Pelodiscus sinensis: one gene and its partners. The protein of the gene in region 1 interacts with the protein of each later gene in a biochemical or structural test. Links are inferred from orthologs where the notes say so. Each region holds a gene or a part of one and is shown on either strand. Other genes may lie near its edges. The genes, in order: ARF1, PLD2, AGAP1 and ARFGAP1.

Region 1 (7,243 bases):
CCTCTGTATCCTATCTCCACAGAGCAGAGAAGGGGGTACAACAGAGCTTGAGATGGGAGTTTGTTGGCTGCTTTTAGGAGTGGTGCAGGGCTAACGCAGGGGTGAGCCTGCCTTAGCTCTACTGCATCACCACCCAGGAGTCACCTGAGGTTAGCAGTGCCCAGCTGAAGCCCACGTCCTGAAACCCTACCCCAGTCATAAACCCCCTCCTGCGCTATTCCTGAGCACCCCTGCATCCAAATGCCCTGCCAGAGCCTGCACCCAGAACCCTCTCCAACACCCTAACTGCCTGCCTCAAGGTCAGCTCAGAGCCCCTCACACTGCAAATCCATTAATCCAAGACCAGAGCCTGCATCCCAACCCGCTGCCCCTGCCTCGTGAAAGGGAGGGAGGATGGAGGGAGTAGGGGCGGGGTCTCAAAAGAAGTACAAAGGAGGCTGGGCAAGGGTATTTGGGTTTGAGGTAGATCTTGGATTGCACTTAAATTCAAAAATTGATCTCATGCTTTAAAAGGTTGGAGACCACTGTCTTACAGTAATGCAGCTAGCTGCACGCACCTCTAAGCTCTCTAATGTCACTACTCTAAGCAAAGAGAAAGAGCTATCCAATCCATAGGAATCATCTACCCCTAACAAGCAGTATTGACTGTCAGCAGCTCTCCTAATAGTACTTTCAACACCGGTGCTACAGTTTTATCACTCAGTGGGGTGGCCTATTCAAGCCACCAAATGACATAACTTATGTCAAGTTAAACTGTAGTGTAGCCAGAGTTAGTGTTGACCAGATTTGCCCACTGTAAAGAATCCAGAGTAATGAAACTTTCCACTAAGCAGGTGCAACAGAAAAAGGTCATTTTGGAAAGATGAGTGAAAGAAGAAACCTGTGAATGTAATGAGTTCTTCATGGTAATTATGCCCTTATTTATACCTATGAAACCTTAATACCAAAAAACAGTTTTACACAGGGGTGCCACAGTGAACAACAGTGCTGAGTCACAAGAAGGTGTAGAATCTAGTCTACTATTAGCAAAGCCCTGACTACATTTTGTCAGTAGAGTCAGCAAGTATGACTCAGATCTACAAAGACCTGAGTTAGAATCCACCATTTTTATAGTACCCTTTCAGATCAGCATGCAAAAAAACCCACCTTTCAGATCCCTTTGTATAAAGTTATTTGCTGATACAAACTGATGCTGAGATTAGAAACAGACATTACACCCAATTCAAGTTTGCTGTATTAAGAACCCAGAGCAAATGAGTGGATACCATGATCCACTCAAGCCATCTACTTATGGACACAACCTACCCTGCACCTGATTCTAAAGGAGTTTTAAAGAGTGTCAAGTCAGGTAGTTTCCTCACCTTTTCATCAAAAGTTATGACTACTGTAAGGGGTTGGGGAAGTAAACAACACTTAAACTTTGCAACAATCATGGATGTGCAAAGTAGAAGTAACAGCATCAAACCCTAACACTATTTTCAGAAAATAATTTTCCTTCCATACCTATTTAATAGTGTATATAATGGCACCATTTTGAGAAAGAAAAAGAATATTTGGAGAAAAATTCTAACTTCCTTAAAGGAAGAACACAACATGGAATGATCCAAATTTGAGTAAGACACATGATTAGAGTATTAAACTTCTGTGGCAAAAGCAGTCATAGAATGGTCTGCTACATAACCTTAGATAAATCACTCAACTTTAAGCTCTCAGTTTCTCATCTGTACAACAAGGATAAACAATAATGTTCTTCAAAGAGGGGCTCAGAGACTCAGTGGCTGCATAGCAAAGTCAACTGTTCAAATAATATAGCTATAGGTGAAGCGGATGGATACAAAATAAAACTTCTGCATGCACGCAAATCAACCTGCGGAATTTGCTTTGCCAGAACTCAAACTCAAAATACTGTGCCGGGATGATTTTATGCCACGATAGTTTTAATTACACCAAGATGGAGTCAACCCATTCAGGTCTCATGGCGAATGCATGCTGCCAATATAGAGCCCTGTACTACTGGCAAGGTGCACTGTGTGGGGGTTGAAACAAAAGACAGGACAATGTAGCACTTTAAAGACTAACAAGATGGTTTATTAGAGGATGAGCTTTTGTGGGCCAGACCCACTTCTTTCGTGGGACTTCCAAGCGGGTCTGGCCCACGAAAGCTCATCACCTAATAAACCATCTTGTTAGTCTTTAAAGTGCTCCATAGTCCTGTATTTTGTTCCAGCTAGACCAGACTAACACGGCTACATTTCTATCACTATTCTGTGCGGGGGCTGCTCCCTTCCCGGGGTGCCACGCATGGGCCGCAGATAGCAGCGCACAGGCCGAAGGCTGATCTGCTCTGCGCCAGCCGGGGGCAGGCTGCCTGCCTGGCTCGCCCACCCCACGCCGTGCTGAAATCCTGGGGCGGGGGGAAGGCAGCAGCTCGACGCCCCGCTGGGTCAGCCCCTCTCAGAGAGCCCCCCCCCCCCACGCTTTCCCAGCCCGCGGGCGCTCGGAGGGGGAGAGCCGGCGACCCCCCCCGCAGCAGAAGGGCCGGGGCAGGGCCCTTCCGGGCTGCGCTCCGCGGCCAGGCCGGGGCGGAGGGCGGGGCCCCGAGCGGAGTAGGGGGATGGGGGCGGACCCGCGGTCAGGCCCCGGCGGGGGGGGGGGGGGGGGGGAGCTAGGCCTGGCTCCCCACGGCGCCTCCCCCCGCGCGGCAGGGACACGCCAGCCCGCCCCCGCTGCCCCGGGTCTCCCGGCGGGCCGGGCCCCGCCACCCAGCGCCGGGCCTCAGCGCGGCCTGCTGGGCCCGGCGAGGAGGGGGGGGGCTACGAGCCGTTGGCGGGGGGGGGGGGGGCGCGCGGCCGCTTACCCGGCGCTGGGGTCTCCTGCGGGCTCTCGCTCGGGGCCGGCTGCCTCCTGCGCTGCGCTCCCGCTCCCCGCCCAGGCTCACAAGATGGCGGCTCGGGGCGGCCACGTCAGTGTGCCAGGGCGGCGCGGGGCACGACGGGTAAAGCCCGGGGGAGGGCGGGGCGCGTGAGGCGGGTGGGGGAGGGGCAGCGGCGGGCGCAGGCGCAGTGTGGGGAGCCCAGAGGGGATGCGTTGCGGGGCCGTGACGCCCTCCCCTGAGTGACGTGTCTCCCACTCGCCCCAGCCCAGCGCCCGCAGAGCCTGCTCAGGGGGCGGGAGCAGAACAGGGAATCCCCCCCCTGTCGCCCGTTCCCAGACAAGCACAGGCCATCCCGACCCATCCTGGCTGACAGCCCCTGAGGGACCTAACCTCCAACTCGCTCCTTGTGGAACCCTGTGACAGTCCGAACCTTCACCACGTCCTGCAGCGAGGAGTTCCACAGGTGGACGGCGCGCTGATGCGTGAAACCAACAACTTCCTTTGGTTTGTTTTAAACCTCTTCGTTTCCTTTGGGCTACCTCTGCCCTGCAACGCTATTGCGGGATACCGGAGTATCCCCAACTAGCTATCCCGCGCCTTCACAGCAAGCCCGTTCTTTCGGGCTCACTAGTCTGATAGCCCTGTAAACCTCGTTCCACGAGGAATAAGGGGCGTTTCGGAAGTGCCGGGTTATTTCAAAATTTGGTGCTGTGTAGACAGCGCCAAATAACAAAATAAGCTATTTTGAAATAAGGTCATGATAAGATACGCAATCTTATCTTAATAAGCTCAAATTGCTCATCTTACTTCAAACTACGGTGCAGTGTAGACATAGCCTTGGTGACCCTTAGTTCTTATGTTATGGGAACAAGTAAATAACTTTTCCTTATTCAGTTTTTCCACACCAGTCATGATTTTATAGACCTCTGTCATAGCCTCCCTTAGTCTCCTCTTTTTTAAGATGGAAAGTCAAAGTCTTTTAAATCTCTCTTTATACGGGACCCATGCCCAACCCCTAATTATTTTGGTTGCCCTTCTTGAATCTTTTCCAATGACAAGATATCTTTTTTGAGATGAGGTAGTACCTGGAAAAACTTAAAAAACAACAAATAGTCCCGCAGCATCTTCTAACAAAAAGTGTATATGATATCATGAGTATTCGTGGGCACAACCCACTTTGTCAGATGAATGGTGTGTAAGGGGTCCAGTTTTCAAATACCCGGAAGCCCTAATCATTGGCCAGTATATCATTATTCTTACTCTTGATTAGAACTCTTTTCTTATGCCTGTATATTTACCTTCCTCTGGAATTTCCACTACATGCATCTGACAAAGTGGGGCTTCACACAGTTCTTCTTCACACAGCGTGTTGTCAACCTGTGGAACTCCTTGCCAGAGGAGGCTGTGAAGGCTAGGACTATAATAGAGTTTAAAGAGAAGCTGGATAAATTCATGGAGGCTAGGTCCATAAAAGGCTATTAGCCAGGGGATAAAATGGTGTCCTTGGCCTCTGTTTGTCAGAGGCTGGAGAGGGATGGCAGGAGACAAATCGCTTGATCATTGTCTTCGGTCCACCCTCTCTGGGGCACCTGGTGCTGGCCACTGTCGGTAGACAGGATACTGGGCTAGATGGACCTTTGGTCTCACCCAGTACGGCCGTTCTTATGTTCTTATGTTCTTATGGCTTTGCCCACGAAAGCTTATGCTCCAAAAAATCTGTTAGTCTATAAAATGCCATAGGAGTTCTCGTTGTTCTTGCAGATTCAGACTAACACAGCTACCCCTCTGATACTTATCATTATCCTAGGTGCTGTACAAAATGATATGCCTTCCCCCAAAGAGCTTGATGTTCTTGAGTAGCCACTCTTCCATTGAATGAGGAAGGGCTCATCATGGGTTTTACTGTCATACCCATTTATCAATGCTGTCCATACAAAGCATGCTCCTCTTTCCTATATAGACTACTGACAGCAGAGGTGAAAGTAAGTGGGTGCGACCTAGCACACAGCTCCAGAAAGAGCTGGCTGAGCTGCTGCAAAAACCAGTTTGGAGCTATTTAAAGAGGTGGCAGGGACCCGAGTTGCAATAGGGCAGTACCTGTATAAATTTTTAGTTACTTTCACAGATAATTGGCAGGCACCTGTTAATAAGCTTCAAAGTTGTTAGAAGACATGTGCATCCACAAATTATGATTTTCAAACTTTCACAGTTTGGCAAATTCAAAACAGACTTTCATCAAGACAACAAAAGGCATTTCTGCTGCCTCAGGGCTATTTTCCTGCTCAATTTCAACTTCTTACCTTCCCCCTTTTCAGCAGTATAGTGGTTATAAAATGCTATAATTTTTTTAGTGGAGATAGTATGCTTTGTTGAAAGAACTGGTTTTTTTCTAGTTTAAAAACACTCCAAAAACAGAAACCAAGGCAGAAACCAAGGCAGGAACCAAGGCAGAAACCAAGTCTGAAAAAAAACCCTAGAGGTTTTTAAATCTCAGCTTGACAAAGCCTCGGCTAGGTTATTTAGTTGGTCCTACGTTGGGCAGTGGGCTGCACTTGATGACCTCCTGAGGTCTCTACCAGCTCTATGATTCTATGATTTAGGCCAGTGAACCACAGACCGTTGCTGTTGGTATGTTTTGGGTGTCACAGTGGTATTCCTGTTTCCCGCTGCTGCCATGAGATCTGGGCTTGCCAGTTGCAAAAACCGAATGTCAAAGCAGATAAAACAATGAGGAGTTGGCCTAAGTGCCTCGAAGTATGCAGAAAGAATAGGACCAGTGTCAGGCACGGGAACCCCCTGTGAATTGGAATGGCTACTCACAAAAATGCAACATCCTGAGGATCATGGGAGAAGGGGGTAAGGAAGTCGAACAAGTGTGGGGGAGTACAGGTAGGGAGAGGGAAGAGAGATTAACATTGTGGAGCATATCTAAGTGTATCACAGAAGAACTAAATCACAGAGAAAAAGGCATAGCGGTAAAGGAAGCAAAGGGAACATACTTTCCTAATATTATTCATTTAAGTAAACATTTTCTGTAGTTGTGATAGGGATGTTCTGTGGTTCTGAATGGGGTGGAGATATGAGATGGGAGGGGACAGGGTTCTCTATTAAAACATGATCCGTCCATTCTGTATTAAAGCTTGAGAAGGCCTGGGTTAGCCAGCCTCAATTATGTGTGCCACCATGGTTGCAGTTATAAAGATTAAGCACACAGAGAAAGGCAGAAGACTGGAAGTCATGAGATTAGATTACGTTGCTACCTTTGCCACTCTGTCTGTGTCTGACCTTCATCTTCCTGTACCTCAGTTTCTCAGATTACTTACCTATCTCACTTCAAATGATACAAATGACGAAAGTGCTTTAACAGCCTTAGATGGAAGATGCTCTGAACAAGTCTAAAGCAGTAATGCCAACCCATATGTTACAAAATCAGTGCTCCCTCCCCCCCAAAGCTGTTGAGATTGGCTTAAAAATAATGAATTTCTAAAAAAAAAAATCTTTGGGTTTATTTTTATTTATCTTCTGATTTGTAGGTCTTTAAGATTTACAGGTGTCACATTGTCTAGCTTTTTTCTGCAACTGTGAGGCTAGAACCTGATTTTTTAACAAATGAAAGCTAAGATTCTGATGTGCTCACATAAACTCTACTAATTGGGGTTGTTGATTATGGGATTCTCCATAAAAACATGAAAATCGGCAACACTGGTAGGCTACGTCTACACTGGCATGATTTTCTGAAAATGATTTCCGTTAAAAGCATTTTCAGAACAGAGCATCTAGATTGGCAGGATACTTTTCCGCAAAAGCACTTTTTGCGGAAAAGTGTCCGTGGCCAATCTAGAAGCGGTTTTCCGCAAAAAAGCCCTGATCGCCATTTTTGCAATCGGGGCTTTTTTGCAGAAAATACTACTGTGCAGTCTACACTGGCCCTTTTGCGCAAAAGTATTTCGGAAAAAGACTTTTGCCTGAACGGGAGCAGCATAGTATTTCCGCAAGAACACTGACGATCTTACATGAGATCGTCAGTGTTCTTGCGGAAATTCAAGCGGCCAGTGTAGACAGCTGGCAAGTTTTTCCTGCAACTGTCAGTCTAGACACAGCCATAAAGTGGTATTAATCAGAAAGTGAAATAGATCAATCTATGGTTTTATTGACCACGGTGAACGAAGTTCAAGCAAGTTTACAAATTGCACAACTAGAGGAAAACAAAATTTGACTTTCAAAACTCTCTTTAACAACCAAAAGTATTATTAAATAAACATTGAAATCAGTTAATAGCTTAATAGTTTTCCATGTCCTGGGCTGTGAACATGAGAGTAAACTTCAGGGGCATGGGAATGGCATGAGGCAGAGGTGATGAAAATTATT
Region 2 (7,764 bases), on another chromosome or scaffold:
TGGGGGGGCAGTGGGCTGTGTTTTGGTAGGGTCTCCTGGGGGGGCAGTGGGCTGTGTTTTGGTAGGGTCTCCTTGCTATGCTTGTAAGAAGCATGGGGATCTTTTTCAGGGGAAAAGGCAATACACAGTGTTTACTGAGAATACAGTGGAGAAGCAGTTAACACACTTTATAAAGACACACACACCACACCACCCAATGGTGCATAAGTCAGTCTTACTGTCTAGACAAGGCTGAGTGAGGAGTCAGGGCTCCTCTGTGGCTTGGCTTGGCTTGAAGGACTGAACCCAGAGTTTCATGGCAAGACCTTCCCTTCTTATACATGTGAGTTCCTATTGGAGTCTATGGTTGTCTACACTGGTGGCTTCTTGTGCAAGAACATCTTGCCAAGGGTTCTTGTGCAAGAAGTCTTGCACAAGAAAACGTCCACACTGCCATGTGTGAGCTGTGCTTTTGCACAAGAGCGCCCATGGCGGTGTGGATGCTCTCTTGAGCAAGAAAGCTCTGGTGGCCATTTTAGCCATCGGGCTTTCTTGTGCAAGAAATCCCTGGTGAGTGTCCACACTGCCCTCTTGCGCAAGAGCTCCTGTGCAAAGAGGGCTTACACGTGTTAAAAAAGAGCATAGCTCTTGCACAAGGAGCCGTCTCTTCCATGCCATACTGTAAATTTCCTTTCGCAAGAGCAGGCGGGCAGTGTAGACACTCTGCGGATTCTTAGGCAATAACCCGCCAGTGTAGACATAGCCTATGGGTTTTGCTGCAATCACCCATCCTTAAAGGAGGTGTTAATCTTTGACCTTTGATAGTGATTGTCAGGCTTCTCATCGTTCTCTCTCACTCTTGGTGGGGTTTCTACCTGTCTTCAAGGTTGTCCATGCTGCCAATTTAATTCAGTCTCAAGACACAATGCAGGGTTCCTTATTGTCTTCAAAGTTTCCACTTCTTGATCATCTGCGCATCTGTGATGGCTTTCATTCACACGCCTTCTACTCACACCACACAAAGGTGCAGTTTCAGACAAGATCAATAATTACTGAAAGACACAACTTAGTTTGTGATGCAGACAAGGGTTACAACTTAATTTGTAATGCTAACAGGGAGCAAGGCCTTATAGTAACATTATCTACTCATGAGAGACAGAGAGAGAAATAGAAGCAGATAGAACTTATAAGCAAGTCATTATACATCAAATAATCAGGTTTTGACAAATCGGCTTTATCTACTCGCCCATGGGGAGTAGTTTTCAGCCGGTCACCCCGTTCACTGGCGGTTCACGCATGTGCAGTGCTGGTCTCGCACATGCGCAGTGCGGGGCTGGCGAGTGGTTTTTGCTGCAATCGTCGAGCCTGCAAATAATTATACATCATACCTAGTTTTATAATGAGGGCTCGACAAATAATACAGTCTACTTGCCCGTGGCGAATAGATTGTAACCCGGAAGAGCCGGATTCGGGCCGAAAAGTGCAGCTGGTGAGCAGGGCTTGCCACGGTTCGGTGGGCCCTGCTTATAACCGATACTAAAATATACATTTTTGCTACATCCTGAGGGAGGGCAGTGGCTGTGTTTTAGTATGATCCCCCAGGGGAACTTGGGCGGTGGCTGAGTTTTGATAGGGTCTCCTGTGGGGCAGGGCAGACTGTTTACAGGGGCCATGCAAGAGTCCTTTGCAGGCTCTGGATGCTCGCGATGTAAATGGTTATCTGGTTAACCGGTAAGCATCACCCTTAACCTGTGGGGGCTGGAGCAGCTTCCTTCCCACAGCTCCAGCCCCACGGGAGCTGCTTCAGCCCTGTGGGGCCCTCCACGGGTAGGGGCTGCTCCTGCCAGCTGGCCAGAGAACCCCCTGGCCTTTTTGCCTCACAGGTTGCACACTGGCTCCCTGGGAGTGCACCGGTGGCAGAGCCTTCTCCTGGGAAGCTGGACTGGCAGTCCAGGGAGGCTTCATTGCCTATTGCTTCATACTGCAGAGCCTGCAGCATATAATCACTGAGATTTTTAGCAGTTACACGGGTACATTTTAAAAACTTTTTACATTCTTACTGGAGGCTGGTGGTTACGAGGTGTCTAACCGATGGGGCGGTGAGGAAATGACACATCCCTGGCCCAGTGTTATTGTAGGGTTTCCTGAGTGCACTGGGGCCGGATGTGTCGTCTCCGTTGGCACCTGCGTCTCATGGGCAAGTTTGTTATGGTAGAGTGTCAGGGCGGTGGGGCTCTGTAGGGCACTGATCATCTGACTCCACCTTCCACAGCTCCTATGTGGCTAATCGAGTGACGGACAAACTGACGCCCATCCACGATCGGATCTTCTGTTGCCGCTCTGGCTCTGCTGCTGACACGCAGGCCATTGCTGATGCCGTGGCCTATCAGCTGGGCTTTCACAGGTACCTGCCCTGGGCCACATCAGAGCAGGCTCTCCATTCCCTGCCATCTGAGCCAGCCTGTCCCTGTGCAGGGGCTGGGCAGGAGCTGGCACCCCCTAGAAGTCAGTCCCTGGTTCCTCTCTGACTGTGGTTCCCTCCCCCTGCAGCATTGAGCTGGACGAGCCACCCCTGGTGCATACGGCCGCCAGCCTGTTCAAGGAGATGTGTTACCGCTACCGCGAGGACCTCACCGCTGGCATCATCGTTGCTGGCTGGGACAGGCGCAAGGGGGGACAGGTGAGCGGTGTCATCCTAGGGCTCAGCCCAGCAGGTGGAGTTAGGGACATAGCCCTTGGGGGCACGCAGAGTCAGGGTATCTCTAACGAGCACTGTGGGACAGGGAGTGGGGCAAGGGATCACTGGGGGCCTCAGAGGTGACTGCAACTTAGCACTGGATGAAGGGTCCCTGGGTAATCTGCCATCTCACCCCACAGGCAGCTGCATCTCAGCTCTGTGCAAGGGGTCTCTGTAGCCAGCTGCCCCGCCCCACAGGTGGCTGCATCTCAGCACTGGGCAAGGAGTCCCTATTAGGGATTTGAAAGTGACTGTGTATATGGTCACGTGTGGGGAGCTGTCTTAAAAGCCAGCACCTGGTGCACACCAGGTCATGAGGAGCTGTTCTCCTCCCCCCCCCTCCCCCCCACGCATAACCATGTAACCATTGAAACTTTCAGCAGTAACTCGTTTAATTAAATGCATTGTAACATCCCTAGTCCCTGTGTACCTGGCTTCTCAGCATCGGGTGAGGAGGTCCTGTGTAACCAGCCACCCTGTCCCAGCCATGATCTCTCCGTCTTTCTGCCCCAAGGTGTTCTCGGTGCCCATGGGTGGGATGATGGTTCGCCAGCCTTTCTCAGTGGGTGGCTCAGGTAGCTCCTACATCTATGGCTTCGTTGATGCCTCCTACAAGCCGGGCATGAACCAGGAGGAGTGTCTGCGCTTCACAGCCAATGGTGAGTAGACCCTCAGCTTCTCACAGCTAGGGATGTGAATGGGTAACTAGTTACCCAGTAAGCATTACATGTTGCCCAGGAGCAGCCCCTGCCTGCCTTAATGTTTAACTGATTAAATAATTAAACGGGATTTTACCCCTCTATCCTGGGCAGCTGGGACCCAGGCATCCAGGATGGCAGTGTGGGTTGTATGTCCATAGAAGGAGGTGTTACCCGCTCAGATTTCTCTATGCCTTCCACACTGTAGGGATACACACCTTTACCCAGTTCCTAGGGCTCAAAGTGCAACCCTGTTAATTTACACACTCACCCGTACCCAATTCCTAAGGCTCAGGGCACATCTTTCTGCGGGTTAGGCAGGATCTTTAGCCACTGAAAGAGCCTCACACAGTAATATCCGTATCCTCTATTTATTGACAATTCCCAAACAAGCAGAATACACATGCTAAGCACACAGTGTCATGCTCACCAATCCTGGTACAGGCAGACTTCCCCTGTTGGCCAGGGAAGGGGAAGATCTCTCTAGATCTTAGCTGCTGCAGTCACAGTCTGGTCTTAGGCTGTGTCTCGGAGGTGATTTTTTTCTTCTAGGTCTTCCCCCTTCTTCTTGGTGTTTCTTGTCTGCTTTTGGTCTTCCAGCCTTTTGCTTCTTTCCTTCTGCTTCTGTTACTTTCTATCTTCTTCTTGGTCTCCTTCTTGGACCTGAGTTTATATAATGAAACCTGAGTCCTGCTTAGCTATACCGTAACCAATTATTTTAGTATAATTTTACTAACCAATCATACCCCACCACCTTAATTGATTTACACCTAGCAAAATTAATTATACAGCAGACAGGAACAGTTAAACCAGACAGATCTCTCAGTCAAACAATAGGAAAGTGTAATGACAATGATCATAGAATGAGGATTCCACAACATTCTCTATTGATAAGTAACACCATTCTGTCTGGCAAGAAACTGTTTAAGTTTTCTTTACCCATCTTGAGATCTGTTTCTTTATCTGGTAACAGTGGAGGAGCTATCAGGACAAAATCCCCTCCTCACAGATTGGTGTGATGCTATTTGAATACAATTTAGATGGAATGTGAGGATGTGACTTGAGGCCTTACAGCTAATGGCTACTGCTCTTCAGTCTGGCTGCAGAAGGTGGATTTGGTTCAGGCCTTCCAACATGGCTACAGAAAAGCCATATTGTTACAGAGGGGTTGGCCCAAGGCATCTATGCTGTGCTTATCCCCCCCCCGTATGCTCTCCTCTTCTCCCCTTGCAGCCCTAGCACTGGCCATGGACCGGGATGGCTCGAGTGGGGGGGTGATCCGGCTGGCTGCCATCACAGAACAGGGCGTGGAACGGCAAGTCATCCTGGGAAACCAGCTGCCACGCTTCTCTGCTGCTTGACGGAGGACACCCTACACACCCTGTGCCACTGACTTATTAAACTATGGAACCCATGATGTGCCTCAATGATTCCACAGGATGCCTGGGTTCCCTGCCCAGCTTGGGGGAGGGGAGCCTGTAAGCCAGGACTCCTGGATTCTTTCCTTGTCTGTGGAGGGGAGCGGGGAGGCCTGGACTCGGATTAACCTGGTGCTGATATGCAGCCACTGCGGGGGTTAGAATGTGCCTATTCTCTGCCCTGCAGATCCAGGGGCTGGTCTTCTGCCGGGACTAAGTTGTGCAAAGGGGCCAGGCTGGGGTGGGGGCTGTTTACAACTGGCACCACTCAATCTTGCCCACCAGCCTCAGCCCCTACATGAGACCTGATGGAGCACATCTGGTGCCCTTCAATGCTGATACACAGCCCCTGCTACCCCAGTCATAGGCTCCCCCAGCTGTGCTGCTGACCCTCACTCCTGCCCTACAGCCCTTGCCAGCCTAGGAGTGACACTGGTGGGAGAAGTTTCTAGTTGTTGGGCTGTGGCATAGGGTGGGCATTTGGGGGCCACTCTGGCTCAGAGCCAGTGTCCCCCCAGCCCAGGTTCCTACACCAAAACCTCACCTGGCTCTGAATCTTCTTAATGGAAATGGATGTGGGGGGGGAATTAACACATCCTGCCTCCCACTGCTTACCGCAACCCCCTCCAACCCCATGTCCAACCATAAGGGGCCCTCTTGGGTGAGAGCTCTTTGCAGGGTTGAGAGTTTAGCCCAAAGGGCAGGGGAATCTGGGATGCTGGCTTAGGGCCTTTCTGTGAGTCCTAGTCTTTGTGCTGTCAGCAGGGCTGGTTGGTGCTGGGGGTCCCTGTTTCCATGCCAGCAGCTGGAATCCCTGACCATGAGGTTGCCCCAGTCATCAGCACATGAAGTCGATGGCCATGGGGCTGCCCCAGTCAGCATGTGGATTTTCTGGCCATGGGGAGCTGGAGCCAGGAGACTGGCTGGCACTGTGGGGCTGCCTCAGTCATTAGCACGTGGAGTTGATGGCCGCAGGAGGCTGGGGCCATGGGGCTGCCCTCATCAGCACATGGAGTCAATGGCTGTGATGGCACAGCTCAGCTGGTGGTAGGAGACTCATGCGTTCTGGCTGGGGCATCCAGCTTGCTACAGGTGGAGGGTGTGGAATGGGCTTGGGGGGCAGGTCCCCCCTCTATGGGATGACCAGGGGTTGCTGGAGGACAGGAAAGGGAAAAGGTTGGGTATCTTGGAGCAGGACAGTGGCTTGCTTGCAGGGGAAAGAGGGCATGGGAGTGGGATGCAGGGTGGGGGGGGGGGTCTGGGAAGGGGGCTTCTGGAGTAAGGGATGAATGGGTGGGGGGAGGATGAGAGATACTCACCTGTGGGCTGAGGGCCCCTTTGCTATGCCCAGCCCAGCAGAAGCACCGCAGGAGCCTCAACCCCATCTGCCCAGTGGCTTGTGGGGCAGAGCAGGGGCTCTGGCAGGGTCTGTGGTGGGGGTCTTTGCCCCCCAACTCATGGGGGTTGCAGCTGCAACCTCCTTCCCTCAGAACTCTCACAATCTGTGCAGGGGCCCTCAGACCCAGCCCCCCTCCCAGCATCACCCCAATGGCTCCCCTGTGCCCCATCCCTGGGCAGGGAACCTGGCACCTCCATTGCCCTGCCATTCCTTTCCTCTGTCCCCCAAAGCTACTTAATTCCTTACTTCCTACCCCAATCCGGGCCACTCAGTCCCTTGTCCACCCCCCTTACCTGCAGATCTCTGGATGCCTGGGTCCCGCCTAGCCTTCCCTGCTCTCAGCTATGGAGCTGGGTGCAGCTGGCTCTGGGGCGTGTCTGCCAGGCACTGCCTGCTGGCAGCTTCCCAGCCTCCCCAGAGGTACGGGGCTGGACTGGCAGGGGCTGCGGGTTGGGAGTGCGGGGCCCTGGCAGGGCTGGGGGAGCCAGGGGCTGCCGGGAGACGCACCCCAGAGCCGGGCCGGGCCTGACCTCCCAGCCCATGGCTCTGTCCTGATCCCCAGTAGAGTCTGGGGAGCGCTCAGGACAGCAGCAGTATTTGTTATTGTAGGGTCTCCCCGAGCAACGCCCCCACCATCCCACAGGGACCCAGCCTGTGGGGCGGAGTGTGCCCTGCTTGGGATAGGGCGGAGGCTGCTCTGTCCCGGGACTGGCTCCAGCCCCCTCCCCCACTTCCCTTCCCGGGCAGCGCCGCCGCCTCCCGCCCAGCCCGGCGCGCCGCAGGGAATCGGGGCCGGGCGGGGACGCCCCGGGTAAGTGTCCGGGATCCCCGTGCGGGGGAGTCTCTGGAAACTCCCTTCCCCGCCTTGCAGGGGTCTCCGGCCTCCTGAACCCCGCGGTGGGGGGACTGGACCTGCTCTCCGCCCATAACAAGGGCAGGCTCCAGTTGGTTCGTGGGAGGGGTCTCGGTTCTCCCCTGCCCCTTCCAGACAGGGACCCCCCTGCGTGCAGCCACGTTGGAGGCGGCGGGGGGAGCTCTGACGGTCCGCTGCCCCCCCCCCCCATCTCGCTGCCCCACGTGACTCGTAGCGGACTCCAAATCTCCGTGAACTTCTAGCACTTTTGTGACGGGGGCGGGAGCGAGGGGCGCCGGCAGGGCTGTGGGTGGGAGCGAGGGGCGCCGGCAGGGCTGTGTGTGGGAGCGAGGGGCTGTGGGGATGCGAGGCCCGGGGGCGGGAGCGAGGGGCGCCGGCGGGGCTGTGTGTGGGAGCGAGGGGCTGTGGGGATGCGAGGCCCGGGGGCGGGAGCGAGGGGCGCCGGCGGGGCTGTGGGTGGGAGCGAGGGGCTGTGGGGATGCGAGGCCCGGGGGCGGGAGCGAGGGGCGCCGGCGGGGCTGTGGGTGGGAGCGAGGGGCTGTGGGGATGCGAGGCCCGGGGGCTCTCTGCCAGCGCCACCCTTCCCAGGCTTAGAGGAAAGGAACGTTGTATAACTCCCCAGCCCCGCCTGCCCAAACCTGCAAGCTCAGGCGCCGCTC
Region 3 (7,649 bases), on another chromosome or scaffold:
TTTATAATGCTGTATTAAAGGGTGTGGCTTTTGCATTGTTACAGAAACAAATGACAAATCTTTAGAAACAGTCTCAATAACTGGCTTGTGGCTTACGACTGGGAATTTCAGAATGATTGCAGTCTGCCAGATCGTTTTTAGAAGAGGTGTTAAGACTTTGCTCAAGAGCAGAGAAAAATTCTCTGCTAGGAGTTTCGTGTGTATGTAGGAGTCTGTCCATCCAGAGCGTTTTTCAGAATTAAAGCTGTTGGCTGGAAATATATTAACATTTGCTATATCCTTTCTGGGCTGTTAAATGGAAAAATAGGTTGTCTGGCAACCTTTAAACCAGTAAATTGTCTTAATTGTTATTAAGGATAATTTTATGAGCATTTTTAATCCTCCCCAGAGGCTCAAATGGAAAAGAGTAAAGGCCAAGTTAAAAATAATTGTAAAATATGATCCTCTGATGACCTGGGATGATGAGGAAGTTGAACTCAGCTCTAGAAACAGCTTGTATCTGTGGCACTGGCCGCTAACGATGCCACTACTTTGTGTTTTAGCAATGTTACTATTAATGTTAAACATTGTAAAAGTCACGTGCACTAGAGGCTCATTCAGCAGTGATTTAAAACTAAACCCAGTTGCGTGCCTCAAAGTGGGAGGCTGACGACACTGGCTAGAGGCCATGCACGTTGTGGAGAGGTGCACGGAAATCTTCATATGGGTCTGCTGATCTACCTGAGGCTGACCTGCTGTATTCTGATTCTGGGCCTCTCCTGTGAAGTAAGAGTTGAGACTAAAGTTAGAATTCAGGCAAGTATCATGAGCTGTTACTTTACTAAGATTGGACTGAAGTATTGTGGATTGTGGCAGGAAAAAGGCCCACTACAATACTGTGCAGTTAGTCTCGTCAATAAATAGTTGTTTAAACAAATGTAATATTGGAGTTATTGACAAGTAGCATATAATGGATGTTTCATAAATTAATATGTAATAAAAGCACATTAATATCCACCTATAATATTGTTAACTATTGTTTGTATTGTGATTGTGCGCATTAATATTTTAAAGTATCAGTGCAGTTTATTTTGCAGTGAATGTTAGTTCAGGTTGAACTTCTCTAGTCCAGCACCCTTGGGACTCGATCGGTTCTGATCCAGAGAATTTGCTGGACCATAGGAGGTCAATATTGTCTAGCAGCATTACCAACACTGCTCCTGCTTACTGGGCTGTTAGAGGTCATTTTGGGGTAAATTAGAGCTAAATAACAGCACAAAACACTGAAAGCTAGTTCTGGTGGCTGTGAACAAATTTTATGGGACCACAGGAAACTTGGCCACACCTATGAAAAGTAGATATCTGACTGACTAAAATAATTGTGGACCGCAGGATTGTTTCTGGATCAGAGAGTTCTGGACTAGAGAGGTTTGACCTGTGGCTGTTTGTCCTTGAAGAGAAGCTAAAGGAGACCTGTTGGCTCATTGAGTCTGCACGCCTTCAAGTATAAGATAAAGCAAGTTATCTTTATGATAAAAACATGAGTCCAGCATGATTTTGATAGAAGGGGAGATGTGTGAATAAGCCAGCAGAAATGTCCTGCCCTCTATGGAGATAATTTTTAAAGTACCGGTATTTCTGTTGTACTGACATACTAAATTGAAAGTTGTGCCTTGATGGACTTCGCTTGAACTTGGTTAACATGCCAAAAGAAATGATGCTTTATGTATTCGCTATAAATATTTATGAAATAGTTAACATGTTTTATAGTATTGCTTAATTTGAAAAAAATTTCCTGGAGAGACTCCTTTAACAAACAATATTTTCCTGGCATTTCTTGCTTTTAGTACGTACAGAGTCTTTGGACATCTTACTTTTTGGTTGAGTGACATTTATTTAGATTTCATACCTGTGGTATACAGCAGTTTTTATACTTGTATGTATGAATTCTAAAGGTAAATGTTACTAATATGTGTTCCTGTTTTGGTAATCTTAGAATGAGAACATTGCTGAGGTGAAATATTATATGTTCAAGAATGTCCCAGAAAAGTTAGTAATGATATGGGGTAAGTCCTTTGCCAGTAATTGAGGGAAGCAATGACAGCACATTTAGATGGTACACATTTGAATGCCAGCAAACTTAGTTGCATTAAGAGAAAGCTTATGTCAGTTTCAGGATGGTAAATAATGCATGACTAGTCAGTCTGAAAAGCAAATTTGTCCATCCTCCACTGGTGGTCTCTTTGAAAGGAATTGTGTTTTTTCTGTATAGAATGGTATCTGAACTACTCTAAATGATGCAGATTGTAAGAAACCCACAAGAACCAAGCTTATTTGATTGAAATAGGATAACTTCTATTGTAAAAAAATCTAAAACCTGTCTGCAGGTTTCCAAGTGTATACACTGACAAGAGCTTTTTGCATGTGCCATCCTTTGCATTGGGAACTACTATTCTTTTCTGGTGGGGAGAAGGAGTGTGATTTCTGAATAGATGATGAAATATACAAACTAGAAGGGATGTAACGACTATGTTTTCTTTGAAAAGAATAGTGTGTTTAAAGAGGTTGAAAGAACACTTGTAGACTATTGGATTGTGCTTGAAAGTCATTCCACTGAAGATTCAGTCATCTAAAACAGAAATGGATTCTTCCACTCCATAGTAAGAAACCTACTTCTGTGATACAGCACAGTGGAAATTGTGGCATGGAGTTTTTTTGGAATAATTTACAATAGCCAATGATAATGAATACTACAGTGACTTAGAGTGAGGTTGTGTGCAGTGATGGTGTAGCTGTGTTGGTATCAAGGTGTAGCTGTGTTGGTATCAAGGTATTAGAGATTCCAGCCGGGTGAGGTATTTCAACCATGCAAAGGTGAAAGCTCCTCTCTCAACAATGGAAGTTCATTCAATAAAATATATTAGTACCTTACCCACCTTGTCTTAGTGTTAGGTTAATATTTTGTGACACTGTATTATTATTTGGTGGAGGTATTGTGTGCTTCCACAAATACTGTACAGTTCAGGACAACTTTAGCCCTGAACAGCTAGAAATAGTAGTGTCTGGAAATACTAAAAATTGATAATGGTTAGGTGGTTTGTGGAGTGAAATGATTAAATGTGCTGTAACTTTTGCACTTACAGAAAATGATCATTTAGGATCAAGTGGCACTTTCAATATTCTAAAAAACATCATACAGATTTCAAAACGTTATCTTACTCTAGGAGTGGAGCTGCAAACATCCATGCAGAAAAGACTGAAGAAATTGTGAATATTTGGGTACAGATACTTACTATCTGGCAGCAAAATGAGCAGTAAAAGTTAGTGAACTGTTGCAAAAAAAGTTAAATGGAAAAGCAAGGATGGGTGGCCATAATTCACTCTCTCATGTGAAGTTGTTAGTGGATTTCAGTGAGTTAGATGTGTTGCAGTACAGGGGGCCATTAACAACATAGGTATGGTGTTATACAGATTCCCTTTGTTTGAAGTTGAAGTAGTGTGTGCGCAGATGAGGTGTGCCCAATGCTAAGGTGACTGTATCACTGAATAGATGTATCTGGTTTTTGTTCTGATTTTAGATGGAAAGAAGGCACAATAGGGGCTATCATTTACAAAACTTTGGTTTCCTTTCTTGGTGTTAATACAATTTTCTTAGCTTCTTTAGTTTACTCTGTTTTTTTTCTAAATGTGTTACTTGTGAAGGGTGCCAGATTTGACAACACAGGAAAATGAAGTAACTGTTCACCAAGAAACAACAGGCTTAAAATTGTAGCAAGGGAGGTTTGGTTGGACATTAACTGTCAGAGTGGTTGAGCATTGGAATAAATTGCCCAGGGAGGTTGTGGAATCTCCATCACTGGAGATATTTAAGAGCAGGTTAGACAGACATCTGTGGCAATGATCTAGAGCTTTGGTGTCTAACATACTGGCCACTAGCCAGATGTGGCTATTTGGCTGGTTAAGTGTGGCTAGTTGGTCTAAACACTGGGGCTATTTGGCTCGTTGAGTGTGCCTAGTTTGCTATAGCAGTAGTCACTGTAGTGGCTACTGTTTCAGAAATGGTTAGATGCCACGGATCTAGATGGTGTTTGGTCCTGCCTTGAGTGCAAGGGATGGCACTTGATGACCTCATTAGGTCCCTTCCAGTTCTAGTGTTCGGAACCAGATAGACCATGAGTAGAACCACTTGAAGTTCTAGCACAGTTTTTTACCTGCTAGTGAGCTTTAGTCTTAACTTGGAAGTATTTTCAGGGTTGAGAATATAGCTCATTCTAGATATCCCTTCCTGTTTTGGCTTCCTAGCACATCAAGATAAGTGATGCAACTTGAGCTATGTCAATTGCGTAGCTTAAATTGAAATATCTTATTTTGGCTTTTGGTACTGTCTACACAGCAAGAAGTCCAAGAGAGAGAGCACTCTTCCTCCGACTTTCCTTATTCCTCGTACAGTTAGGGTTACAGGAGTTGGAGTAAGAAGTCCTCCCGCTTGACATTATTTTGTCATCATGTCAAAACAACCGCTTGTAGTGCAGATGTGGACTTTGTTGTTTTGGAGTAACATCAGTTATTCTGAAATAATGCTGCTGTGTAGACATAACCTAGAGAATATCTTCACTGCCAGTTGGGACCTGTGACAGTTCACTGAGAGTATGTGACAAATTCTAACTCTTTGGATAATGACACCATGGACAGGAACTGGTTTGTAACAGGAGACCAACAGGTGAAAAGCTGCATATGCCACTGTGGCCCTCAGTTTTTTTAAATGACTGATCCTGTGGCTATCAACAAGTGCAGGAGGAATGATTGCAGGTGGGGCTAGGTCTTGTAGGGCAATGGGATGAGTAACTTTCCCTTGAAGTATTACTCCGCCTAAGGAAGGAAGATCAGTGTTTTTTCTCCTCTTCTTTCCATTGAAAAGCCCTTGCTGCTGGGGATCGGGTGTGTTTGGGTCTAGCGAGTCCGCAGGAGAGCAGCAATCCAGTCCGGCACTTCAATTCTGCCGCTCCTGCTTGAGGCGCCGCTCTCTGCGAACGCTGGCCGAGCGGCTGGGAGACTCCGGGCGCGGATTGCGGTTGGAGGGGCTGCTTGCGTGGGGGTCGGGTTACTCTGCCCCTGTGCAAGTGGCGGCGGCGGGCCTTTGCGTTTGAAAGCTCTCCCTCGCCTGCAGCCGGGGCAGGGCAGGGCCGGCCGGGAGGACTGCGCCGGGGTTCCGATCGGCGAGGGCAGAGACGCGGAGTGACTGGGGGAAAGGACCCAGCTCTGCCAACGTGCAACCCCTGTAAACAATGAACTCGCAGGCGGCTCCGGCTCCGGGGCTGTGAGGGGCAGCCCCGCTTCTCCTGCGCGCCTTGCGGGCTCGGCGGGAGGATGCAGGCGGCGCGGCCGGCTCTTGCCGAGGGGGCGAGGAGCCGGAGCGCATGGAGCCGAGCCCCGTGCGGTGGCGGCGCTCGGTGATGTGAAGCCTGCTCGCCAGCGCCGAGCCCAGCCCAGCGACTTGGCTGCGTGGCGCGCCCGGAGCGCCCGTCGGGGCATGGCCGGGTCGGCGGCGGCGGCCTGAGGGGAGCCATGTACCTGCTGGCCGGCAGCGAGCCGCCCCCCGAGGGGATGCAGCGCGGCGCCCCGCAGCGCAGAACCGTCTACCGCATCTCCGTCACCATGGTGAAGAAGGAGCCGCTGGCGGCCGCGGAGCCGCCTCGGGCCCGGCGGCGGGCGGGCGGGCAGCTGCCGGGCTCCGCCAGCCTGCCCCGCGCCGGGCTGCTGCTGGAGGAGGCCGAGGAGGAGGCCGAGGAGCTGGCGGCCGGGCCCTGCGGCGTCCGCCGCTTCCGGACCCTGAGCACCGGGCAGCTGGAGCTGGGCCGGCTGCAGGTGGCCAGGCGCCGCCTCGCCCCCGAGCCGGCCCGCAGGTGGCCGAGCCCCGCGGCGCGCCCGGCGGAGGCTGAGCTGGGGTTGGCGGAGCCGGGCCGACTGCGGCGCAGCTTCAGCTTCCGCCACTGGAGCGGCGGGGAGCTGGCGCGGGCCCTGTCCCGGGCCAAGCGGCACCGCAGCTCGGGCTGCCTGGCCCCGCCGGCCGGCCCGGCCGAGAAGCGCAACACGCTGGACGTGGGCGAGGTGCTGAGCAAGGCGGAGCCGCTGGAGCGCTGGGAGCGCAGCAAAGGCAAGAACCGCACCCTGGACAACAGCGACCTGCAGCGGCTCTCGGAGCGCCTGGCGCGGGCCAGCCCGCCGGACCGGCTGCTGCGCTTCTTCAGCGGCATCTTCACCCGCCGGCCCGGCACCTCCACGCCCTTCGGCAGCCCCGGCGCCCGCGCCTCCCGGGCCCGCGGCTACTTCAGCAGCCTGCGCAGAACCGCCGCGGAGGCGCAGTCCAGCAGCGAGAGCATCGGCGGCTCCCCGCGCAAAGGTGCCTTCTCTGTCCGGGGCTTGGGGCGGAGGGAGGCTCGGAGCCCGGGAAGCCACCGCCCCTCCTGCTGCTCTTAGACTAGCGCCAGGCGCCCTCCTTCCTTTGCTAGAGCGGGAGCAGCCGGAGGCTGCCTCCACCTTCCACCAGGTACACGAGGGCACCGCTCCCGAGAAAGGCGCATGGCATGAGCGGGGAGGCAGCGCCTTCCCGGAGCTCTGGTCACTGCCTGGGCAGTGGAACGGGGCCCAAGTGCAGCTTGTTCCTTATCTAAGGGGGGAGAAGAACGCCTGAGTTGCCTTTTATAGGTTACTAGGTCAGGCAAGTGCTCTCTGATAGTTGACTCCTTTCTAGCAGTTGGGGAGTAAGAAGTGTAATTGGGACCCACGCCGACAGCAGTTTAAGGCCGTCTTTTTAATCCTGCCCTGGAATAAGATGTCGAATAAAAGAGAGAGAGAGAGATTTAAAATCAACTTGGACTTCAGTTATGCAGCTTCAGTATGAAAAAATATTTTTTCTACTTCCCAGTAATTCCATTTTCTGTAACTTTACTAGGCTATTATTGATGTAGTGTGACATGAATTATATCAGTATGTAGACTACAAATATTTCAGAGGTTTCAAAAGAGGTTCAGAAAAAGTAATAGCTTACAACCAAAGTACATTCAATGACAAAAGTGTTTTACTTTTCATGTGCAATAGAAACTGTTTCTGGAGTGTACGTGGGTGTTTTTATTTTGAAGTTAACTGTAGTATAGCTTTTCATCCTTAGCAAAGTATTGCATCCAGTAACCCAACAGGTCAGGTGTAAATAATGACTGCATTCTTTAGGTTGTAGATATCATTACAGTCAAGTAATGCCTACAACTAATAACTTATGCATTCGAGCACCAGGCTAATAAACTATTACATATGTCCATGTGAGACTGCAGTAAATGCTATTGTAACTGTTGTAGAGTTTGAAATAACCACAGCAAGGAATCTAATTTTTCACACAGCTTTTTGATATTTGCTTCATGCCAAAATGTTTAGGCTGTAATTTAAATTGTTTTAACAGTACAAAGAGATATAGGGAAACGACAACATTCTTACATTGCGGGGTAGATATGTAAGAAAAACAATGCTTTTCATCCATTTTTATAAAGAGGTGTGTGCAATGCTGGTTAAGCAAAAACATATTTCCGGTAAGATTTTCTCCAAATGCAAGTATTGTAAAACTTATCAGTGCAAATTTTAAATTATTTGCAATTCTTAATATGGACTAAATTTTTTCC
Region 4 (7,594 bases), on another chromosome or scaffold:
AATCCAGATCTTGCAAGTGTGGATACAATCCTAAGTAGTGATTTTTCAACAACTGGCATCACCTATAAGCAAGTACTTGAGGCTAGAGGGAGTAACAAGGCAAGTTATACAGTACAATCAGAGGGAAGCAATTATTCTATTAAAGGCTACTAAGATTTCTTCAGGTGGAAGATAACATTTAACATGCTTTTATCTCTGTTATTTCCCTCATGTAATATAAATAATATTAAAAGACTAAGGTCCCACTCCTGCAAAGACTTACACAAATGAGTAACCCAGGGAAAATAATTAAGACTGCTGGAATGTCTAGATTTAACTGTGTTAAGTCTTTGCAGGATTAGGACCAAAAGTGCTTACTATAATTAACTATAGCATTAAGTGTCAATAACAAGTACAGCACTTTTGAAAACACAGACAAAACCACTCTAATTAATATATTTATTTTGGGAGAAGTCATCGTGGAATGCTTTCTAAGATGCCTTCTTCCCAGAAGCAGGCCAGCTTAGTGTAAACGACCTTATAGTTAACCACTCGTGGAGTAGGAGTGTTTTATTTCTAAGAAGTGCCATTAGGAAATCAGAGGGTGCAGTGTAGAGCAAAAAGCTCCAGGTCTTATCACATTTCCCACCAGTGGCACTTGGAGGTTATTGAAGAGATACAGAAAGCTAAAAATGTGCCAGGTTTCGTTGTTAGGATTTTATTATTATTGCTACATAAGTTATAATTAATTACAATGCAGAAACTGAATGATAACATTTATTGCAAATCTCCCCATCTGATCAGTCCTTGGATTTACTACATTGAGGCAATGTCTACACTACAAGTTTTTGTGACAGAGAGTATGCTAATGATGGATTAATTAGCATGAGTCGCGATGTCATTAGCATATTTTCTGCCAATGCTTTTTGCGCAAAGGTTATTTTTGCGCAAAAATAAGCAGTGTAGCCACTTCCATTTTGTGCAAAAAAAACCCCCTTTTGCGCAAAATCCTTATGCCTCTCCGGAATCTTGCACAAAAGGGTTTTTTGCGCAAAATGGAAGCAGCTACACTGCTTATTTTTGCGCAAAAACCCCTTGTGCGAAAAGCATTGGCAGAAAATTTGCTAATGACATTGCGACTCATGCTAATGAGTCGATCATTAGCATACTCTCTGCCGCAAAAACCTCGTAGTGTAGACAAAGCCTGAGTTACGTAAACATGTTAAAAAGAGGGACCACATACTCACTTGTTCCCTTTCAGTTTAAGCCAGTGGTCTCCAACCTTTTAAAGCATGAAATCACTTTTTGAATTTAAGTGCAATCCAAGATCTACCTCAAGCCTAAATACCCTTGTACAATACCCAAATACATATTTGAAGTCCAACTAGTAGCCAGTCAACCAAGAAAGATAGAATTTGACTTTTTTTTTCTGAGTCCTAGATGTTAATATTTAAAATGTTTGCTTACTCCCACACTACAGATATCTGTCTCCAATTTCAGAGATGGCAATGGGGTTATGTACCTGTCCCAGATTCGAGGAACAGAGCAATTCAAACTTGCTAGGGAACTGCATTGATTCATTTGTATGCTGTGTATGAGAGACATAGTGCTACATCTACACTACAAGTTTTTGCAGCAGAAAATATGCTAATAAGGGACTCATTAGCATAAGCCGTGATCTCATTTACATATTTTCTGCCAATCCATTTTTTTGCTAGGGGTTTTTGCACAAAAATAAACTGTGTGGATGTTTTCTTTTTGTGCAAAAACCCCTTTTTGTACAAGATCCTTATGCCTCAAAAAAAAGAGGTATACTGATCTTGCGTAAAAAAGGGTTTTTGTGCATGAAGGAAATGGCCACACTGCTTGTTTTTGCGCAAAAACCCCTAGCGAAAAAATGGATTGGCAGAAAAAATGCAAATTAGATCACGCTTTATGCTAATGAGTCCCTCATTCAGGACCGGATTAAGGGGGGGTTAGCCGGGCAGCTGCCCAGGACGCCAACCTATGGGGGGCGCCTGATGGCAGCTATAAGGGGCACCGCGCGGCGCCCCTTAGAGCTGCAATCAGGCACCACGTGCCCGATTGCAGCTGTAAGGTGCACAGTGCGCTGGGGGGCGGGACCGTGCATGTGCCGTGTGCCCGGGGTTTGAGCCGCGCATGTATCACGCGCCCGCTGCTGGAGGAGCAGGAATGGCTTGAGCCGGCCCTGCCCTCATTAGCATATTTTCTGCTGGAAAAACTCGTATAGACGTAGCCAGTGCTGGCTTTGTCTCATTACCACTGAATGAAAGGCCCTGATCCTGTAATCCTCACACAAGTACTTACTCCTATTTCTGATTTATTGTGTGAGTGAAGACTTCTTTCATGTTAGGAAGGGTTGCAATATTGCTACCACATGGTGCAAATGTAAGCATCTAGATCTATTTATTGTTCCATGCAATTCATAACTTATATCTTCTGTAAAAGAGCAAGCAATGCATTAATATGCTCCCACATTATTAGTGGCAATTTTGATTCAGTCAGCCAAGGCTGCCACTGGAAGATTATGCTGCCCAGACAGTGTTAGAATGTTCCTCTTTGGTATATTAACCAAGAATAGAGACAGTATTAATACCTCAGTGCTGCATCATTTGTGGCATATGAATAAATGTTGCACAACAGTGCTCCCTTGAGGCTGCAAGCATAAAGTATTGAATATGCAAAATAAACCTATCAGACACACTGCAGAATCAATGCTGATACCAACCACTGTGCCCTAAATCAATTATAGAAAAAGTATGATTGATACGCTAATTAGATTCTCATATAGTGTGTATATAATGGGAACCTCATTTCATATTAGTTCATATTACCAGAAAATAATGGTACTTATCAGAAGAAGTCACTTTGTCCTTAACTGGAAAAGCAAATTATACAGATAGGCTACGTCTACACTGGCCCCTTTTCCGGAAGGGGCATGTTAATTTCAGAGATCGCAATAGGGAAATCCGCAGGGGATTTAAATATCCCCCGCGGCATTTAAATAAAAATGTCCGCCGCTTTTTTCCGGCTTCAAAGTAGGAATAAGATCCTCCAGAAAAGGGCTTTTTTTCCGGAGGATCGGGGCCAGTGTAGACGCTCTTTTCCGGCTTTTCTAAAAGCTGGAAAAAAGCGGCGGACATTTTTATTTAAATGCCGCGGGGGATATTTAAATCCCCCGCGGATTTCCCTATTGCGATCTCTGAAATTAACATGCCCCTTCCGGAAAAGGGGCCAATGTAGACGAGCCCGTAGAATTTACTTTGTTTCATTGCCCGCCTCCAATGTACACATATTTGGAGTCCATTATTTTCTCTTTAATGTAAGGCAAGGATTATGCATGTAGCCACCATTAATAGTAAAAAGAGTTATTCTTGTTAATCCCCCATATAACCATGGCAGGACAATAGACCATTTACTATCAAGGCTGGAACAGGTATAGCACTGAAAATGAGTAGCATATGGTCTCTGTGGCCGGGGTGGGGAACCTCAGGCCCAGAACCCCCCAGCAATGGGAAGCCTGCACTGGTGCTCCAGCCGCCTTGCTGCCTCACCACACAAAATCTACTAATCTGGGGTCCCTTAGGCTCTGGTGAGCAAGGGGGAATGTGCAGAATATCTTTCTCCTCTGTTGGGGGCCACATCAGTGGGGGCTCGTTTTTTGTTTTTCACTTGTGTGTGGCTCTGACTGATTTTTCTGTCCGTCAGTGGCCCCCATGCTACTGGTGCATCTACACTGCACCGCAGGTCGAAATGAGCTACGCAATTTGAGCGATGCAAGCTGCGTCTCTTAGGCTACGTCTAGACTGCAAGCCTCTTTCGAAAGAGGCTGTTTCGAAAGATACTTTCGAAAAAGCTTCTTTCGATAAAGAGCATCTAGACTACAATCAGTACTTCCGAAAAAGCAAACTGCTTTTTCGAAAGAGAGTACCCAGGTAGGCTGGATGCTCTCTTTCGAAAAAGCAGTTTGCCTTACATAGCACCTTTTTTTGAAAGAGCCCTTTCGAAAAAAGGCGTTCTTCCTCGTGAAATGAGGCGTACCGCCGTCGAAAGAAAAGCCGATTTCGAAAAGAGGCGTCCTTGACTGCAAACAGGCGTCTCTTTTTCGAAAGAGAGCATCCAGACATTGATTTTTAATTTCGAAAGAACGCGGCTGTAGTCTAGACGCAGGGGAAGTTTTTTCAAAAAAAGGCGACTTTGTTCGAAAAAACCCTGCAGTCGAGACACAGCCCAAGTGACGTGAATAGCTATTGGGGACCCCCCCCAGTGACGTGAATAGCTACTGGGGACCCCCCCTTGGGGACGTGAATAGCTATTGGGGACCCCCCCAGTGACGTGAATAGCTATTGGGGACCCCCCCAAGTAACGTCATTAGCTACTGGGGACCCCCCCTTGGGGACGTGAATAGCTATTGGGGACCCCCCCCCCGCAATAGCGCTGCAGTGCAGACAAACTCCCCAGGGGCGGAGTCTCTGGGCGGGCTCCTAGTGCGGAGGGGGGCGGGGCGAGTCCCGCTGAGGGCAGCGTCGGGCCCTGTCGTTGGCTCACTGGAGCCGCCGCGTCGGTCGCTCTCGGGCGTCCGACGGCCCCGCCCAGCTGCCGCGCAGGCCGCCGGGCCCGAGGGGGTTAACCCCTTCTCCCCGGCCCAGCATGCTTTGCGAACGTGCAACGTCGCCGGGTTCGGCGGCGGCTGCGCGCTGAGGAGCCGGGTGCGAGCAGGAGCCGGGGCCGCCGCAGCAGGTACCGAGCCGGCCCCTCCCCCCTCCGGCCCCGACTTCCCTCAGCGCCCCCCCCCCCCCCCGCGGGCTCCTCTGGGCCTTGACCGCCCCTCCCCCTGTCCTCGGGCCTGGTGGGGGGCTCCCCGGCGGGGCGAGACGGCAGCCGCTGCAACCCCCCCCCAGCCCCCCCGAGCCCTGGGTCGGTCGAGGCAGCCCCGGACGTGAGGTCCTTGCCGGCCGGTCTCACTGCCGCCGGGGCGTGTCCCTTCGCTGGGACCCGCCTGGCCCTTGGGAGCCCCCCCCGGACCAGCCATCCGTGCAGGGGGGGCCCGGATCAGCCCCTCCCCCCCCCCGACCAGCCATCCGTGCAGGGGGGGCCCGGATCAGCCCCTCCCCCCCCCCGACCAGCCATCCGTGCAGGGGGGGCCCGGATCAGCCCCTCCCCCCCCCCGACCAGCCATCCGTGCAGGGGGGGCCCGGATCAGCCCCTCCCCCCCCCCGACCAGCCATCCGTGCAGGGGGGGCCCGGATCAGCCCCTCCCCCCCCCCCCGACCAGCCATCCGTGCAGGGGGGGCCCGGATCAGCCCCCCCCCTCCCCGGACCAGCCATCCGTGCAGGGGGGGCCCGGATCAGCCCCCCCCCCTCCCCGGACCAGCCATCCGTGCAGGGGGGGCCCGGATCAGCCCCCCCCCCTCCCCGACCAGCCATCCGTGCAGGTGGGGCCCGGATCAGCCCCCCCCCCATGACCAGCCATCCGTGCAGGTGGGGCCCGGATCACCCCCCCGGTAGTTGCATTCCCCCCCCCCGCCCCCACTTGATGGTTTGATCTTGCCCTGGAAAGGCAGAAAGGTTAAAATCATGTGGTCCAAAAAAAAAAAAAAAGGCAGCCCTGGTCCAGTGAGACTCTCCCCTGCGCCTGTGAAGAGCCTTACTCTTCTGCTCCCCCCTCCCCGAAACCTCCTGGGGCGAAGCCTCCATCCTCATTACGAATCTGGCCACGTGCTGATACCGTCTTCAATGGGTTGGATCTGGGTGTACAGCAGGGGGCTCAAACTCAATTTACCTTCGGGCCAGGGCCTGTCCTTAAAGCCTCCTAGTGAGCCAGCGGGTACCCCTCTCTGACCGGGCCTGGGCGTGTGTGTTTGTCCATGTGTTCTTCACCCTCCCCCGTCTGCTGGCCCCTGCGCTCCCCTGTGTTTTCCCACCTGCTGCCCCAAGGCAATTTAAGAGCCCCCTTGGGGGAAGGGTAGCACCACCACTCTGAGCCACTGCTGTCAATTCCCTGTGGCTTGAGGGAGATATGCGAAGAGTTGTCCCATCATTAGGATGATTCGGGGTGGTCTTCCCAGGCCTTGCACTTTGGTGGGGTCCTGTGATGGTCACTCCAACCATTCTGTGGACAGGATGGTCCCCAATACTCAGGTTAGTCTGTGGGGCCTGAGTGGGCCAGTGTTGTCAGCGGTGGTTGGAGCCCCCCTCATTCACCATAGCAGTGCGAGCTGCGGAAAAGCAGAACTACACAGCAGCCTGCTCTGACTCCCATCTCCCAAGGCAGCCTGGGCTGGGGCTGAGGCATTCTACTTCTGGCCACTGTGGTGAAAAAGCAAACACACTAGCCTGGAAGATGATGGCAGAGAGAAATTTTAGTTTTATTATTTCTAATAGGGATGTTAAATATTGACTAATTGATTAGTCGATGCATTTTACATCGACTATTTGATTAGTCGATAGCGTGTCTCTGCCTTTGAAGTGTAGCAAAAGCCCTAGGGAGCCCAACTTCCAAACAAAATAACACATTTTAATTGTCTTTGCCAGTTTCCTCAGCTGAGTTCTGAAAGATGACCAGTATCTGTAAATGTGTATGTAAAAAACCAGCTCTTAGGGTATTACTATTGGTTGTGGCTTAACTCGTAGATCAGGGGTTTTCAAAGTTGGGTTGTGGGCCCATCCGCATAAGTTGCTGGCAGGCCACGAGATGTTTTGTTTTTTTTAGTGTCCATAAGCATGGAGCCTTGTAGCTCCCATTGACTTTTGCCGTTTCCAGTCAAGGGGAGCTGCGGAAAGCAGCAGCCCAACGCGCACAGCTCCCCGTGGCTGCAAATAGTGATCCAAAGCCAATGGGAGCTGCAAGGCTCTGTGCCTATGGATGCTAAGATAAACAAAATATCTCACAGCTCAGCAGCGACTTACCTGCGCAGGCCTGTGACCCAACTTTGAAAACTCATGCTTTTGCCTACCGCAGAACCCCATTTATCCAATCTAATTGGGACTGAGACCTGATTGGATAATCAGCAATCCAGATAAACTGAAGAATGGGAAAGTCTAATGCTGCAGTGCCAGGTAGTAGCCACAAGAAAGACTGCCCCCTTCTGGACCTTTGTGCACTGATTATCAGTACAGACAGCCAGATAATGGAAGGTCAGAGTTCTGTTATAGTTCTAGGTTGACTTTAATGACGTTGTGATGCTTGGAACAGATGAATCCATAATTGAAAAAACATTCACATAGGAAAATAAACACTGAGGGAGTCTTGATCACTAGGGATACTGGAGGGGGAGATAGTCTGAACACAGAACTGGGAGCCAGGGACTTTAGAATTCTAATGGTGCTTCAATAGGTCTCTCACTAGCCCTGGTTAATTCACTTAACCTTTTTCTGCCTCGCTTTCCCCATCTGTACAATGGATGTACTTGTCTATCTCTCAGAACTGCTGTGAACATGCATGACTTCTATAGCACTATAAAGTTGGTGTGATCATGGCAGTCACAACTTTCACTGCAATGCTTTCTCTTGAGTAATGGACTCTCACTCTGGAGCTATGTTATCTGAATCAGGAACTGAAGTTCTTTCTGCACTTGGGTCCTCTGCTTTTTGC

Evidence for each region.
Region 2: the proteins of ARF1 (region 1) and PLD2 form a complex in vitro, tested with the Homo sapiens proteins (2 studies listed by BioGRID). The link is inferred for Pelodiscus sinensis from reciprocal best matches to the Homo sapiens genes ARF1 and PLD2.
Region 3: of the proteins of ARF1 (region 1) and AGAP1, one has a biochemical effect on the other in vitro, tested with the Homo sapiens proteins (2 studies listed by BioGRID, with this or other methods). The link is inferred for Pelodiscus sinensis from reciprocal best matches to the Homo sapiens genes ARF1 and AGAP1.
Region 4: the proteins of ARF1 (region 1) and ARFGAP1 form a complex in vitro, tested with the Homo sapiens proteins (2 studies listed by BioGRID, with this or other methods). The link is inferred for Pelodiscus sinensis from reciprocal best matches to the Homo sapiens genes ARF1 and ARFGAP1.

The regions. Positions count from the first base shown.
Region 1 is NC_134712.1:252,866,621-252,873,863, forward strand, and holds the start of ARF1 (ADP-ribosylation factor 1), read right to left. Parts: upstream 3,003-7,243; 5' UTR 2,858-3,002; intron 1-2,857. UniProt on the Homo sapiens protein: Small GTPase involved in protein trafficking between different compartments. Modulates vesicle budding and uncoating within the Golgi complex. In its GTP-bound form, triggers the recruitment of coatomer proteins to the Golgi membrane.
Region 2 is NC_134734.1:8,308,645-8,316,408, forward strand, and holds the start of PLD2 (phospholipase D2), read left to right. Parts: upstream 1-4,775; 5' UTR 4,776-4,853; coding exon 4,854-4,892; intron 4,893-6,524; exon of another isoform or gene 6,525-6,662; intron 6,663-6,914; exon of another isoform or gene 6,915-7,042; intron 7,043-7,764. Other genes in the region: PSMB6 (proteasome subunit beta type-6), read left to right, coding at 2,252-2,383, 2,530-2,659, 3,231-3,375, 4,648-4,775.
Region 3 is NC_134717.1:63,192,232-63,199,880, reverse strand, and holds the start of AGAP1 (arf-GAP with GTPase, ANK repeat and PH domain-containing protein 1), read left to right. Parts: upstream 1-4,639; 5' UTR 4,640-5,544; coding exon 5,545-6,379; intron 6,380-7,649. UniProt on the Homo sapiens protein: GTPase-activating protein for ARF1 and, to a lesser extent, ARF5. Directly and specifically regulates the adapter protein 3 (AP-3)-dependent trafficking of proteins in the endosomal-lysosomal system.
Region 4 is NC_134728.1:6,523,001-6,530,594, reverse strand, and holds the start of ARFGAP1 (ADP-ribosylation factor GTPase-activating protein 1), read left to right. Parts: upstream 1-4,594; 5' UTR 4,595-4,740; intron 4,741-7,594. UniProt on the Homo sapiens protein: GTPase-activating protein (GAP) for the ADP ribosylation factor 1 (ARF1). Involved in membrane trafficking and /or vesicle transport.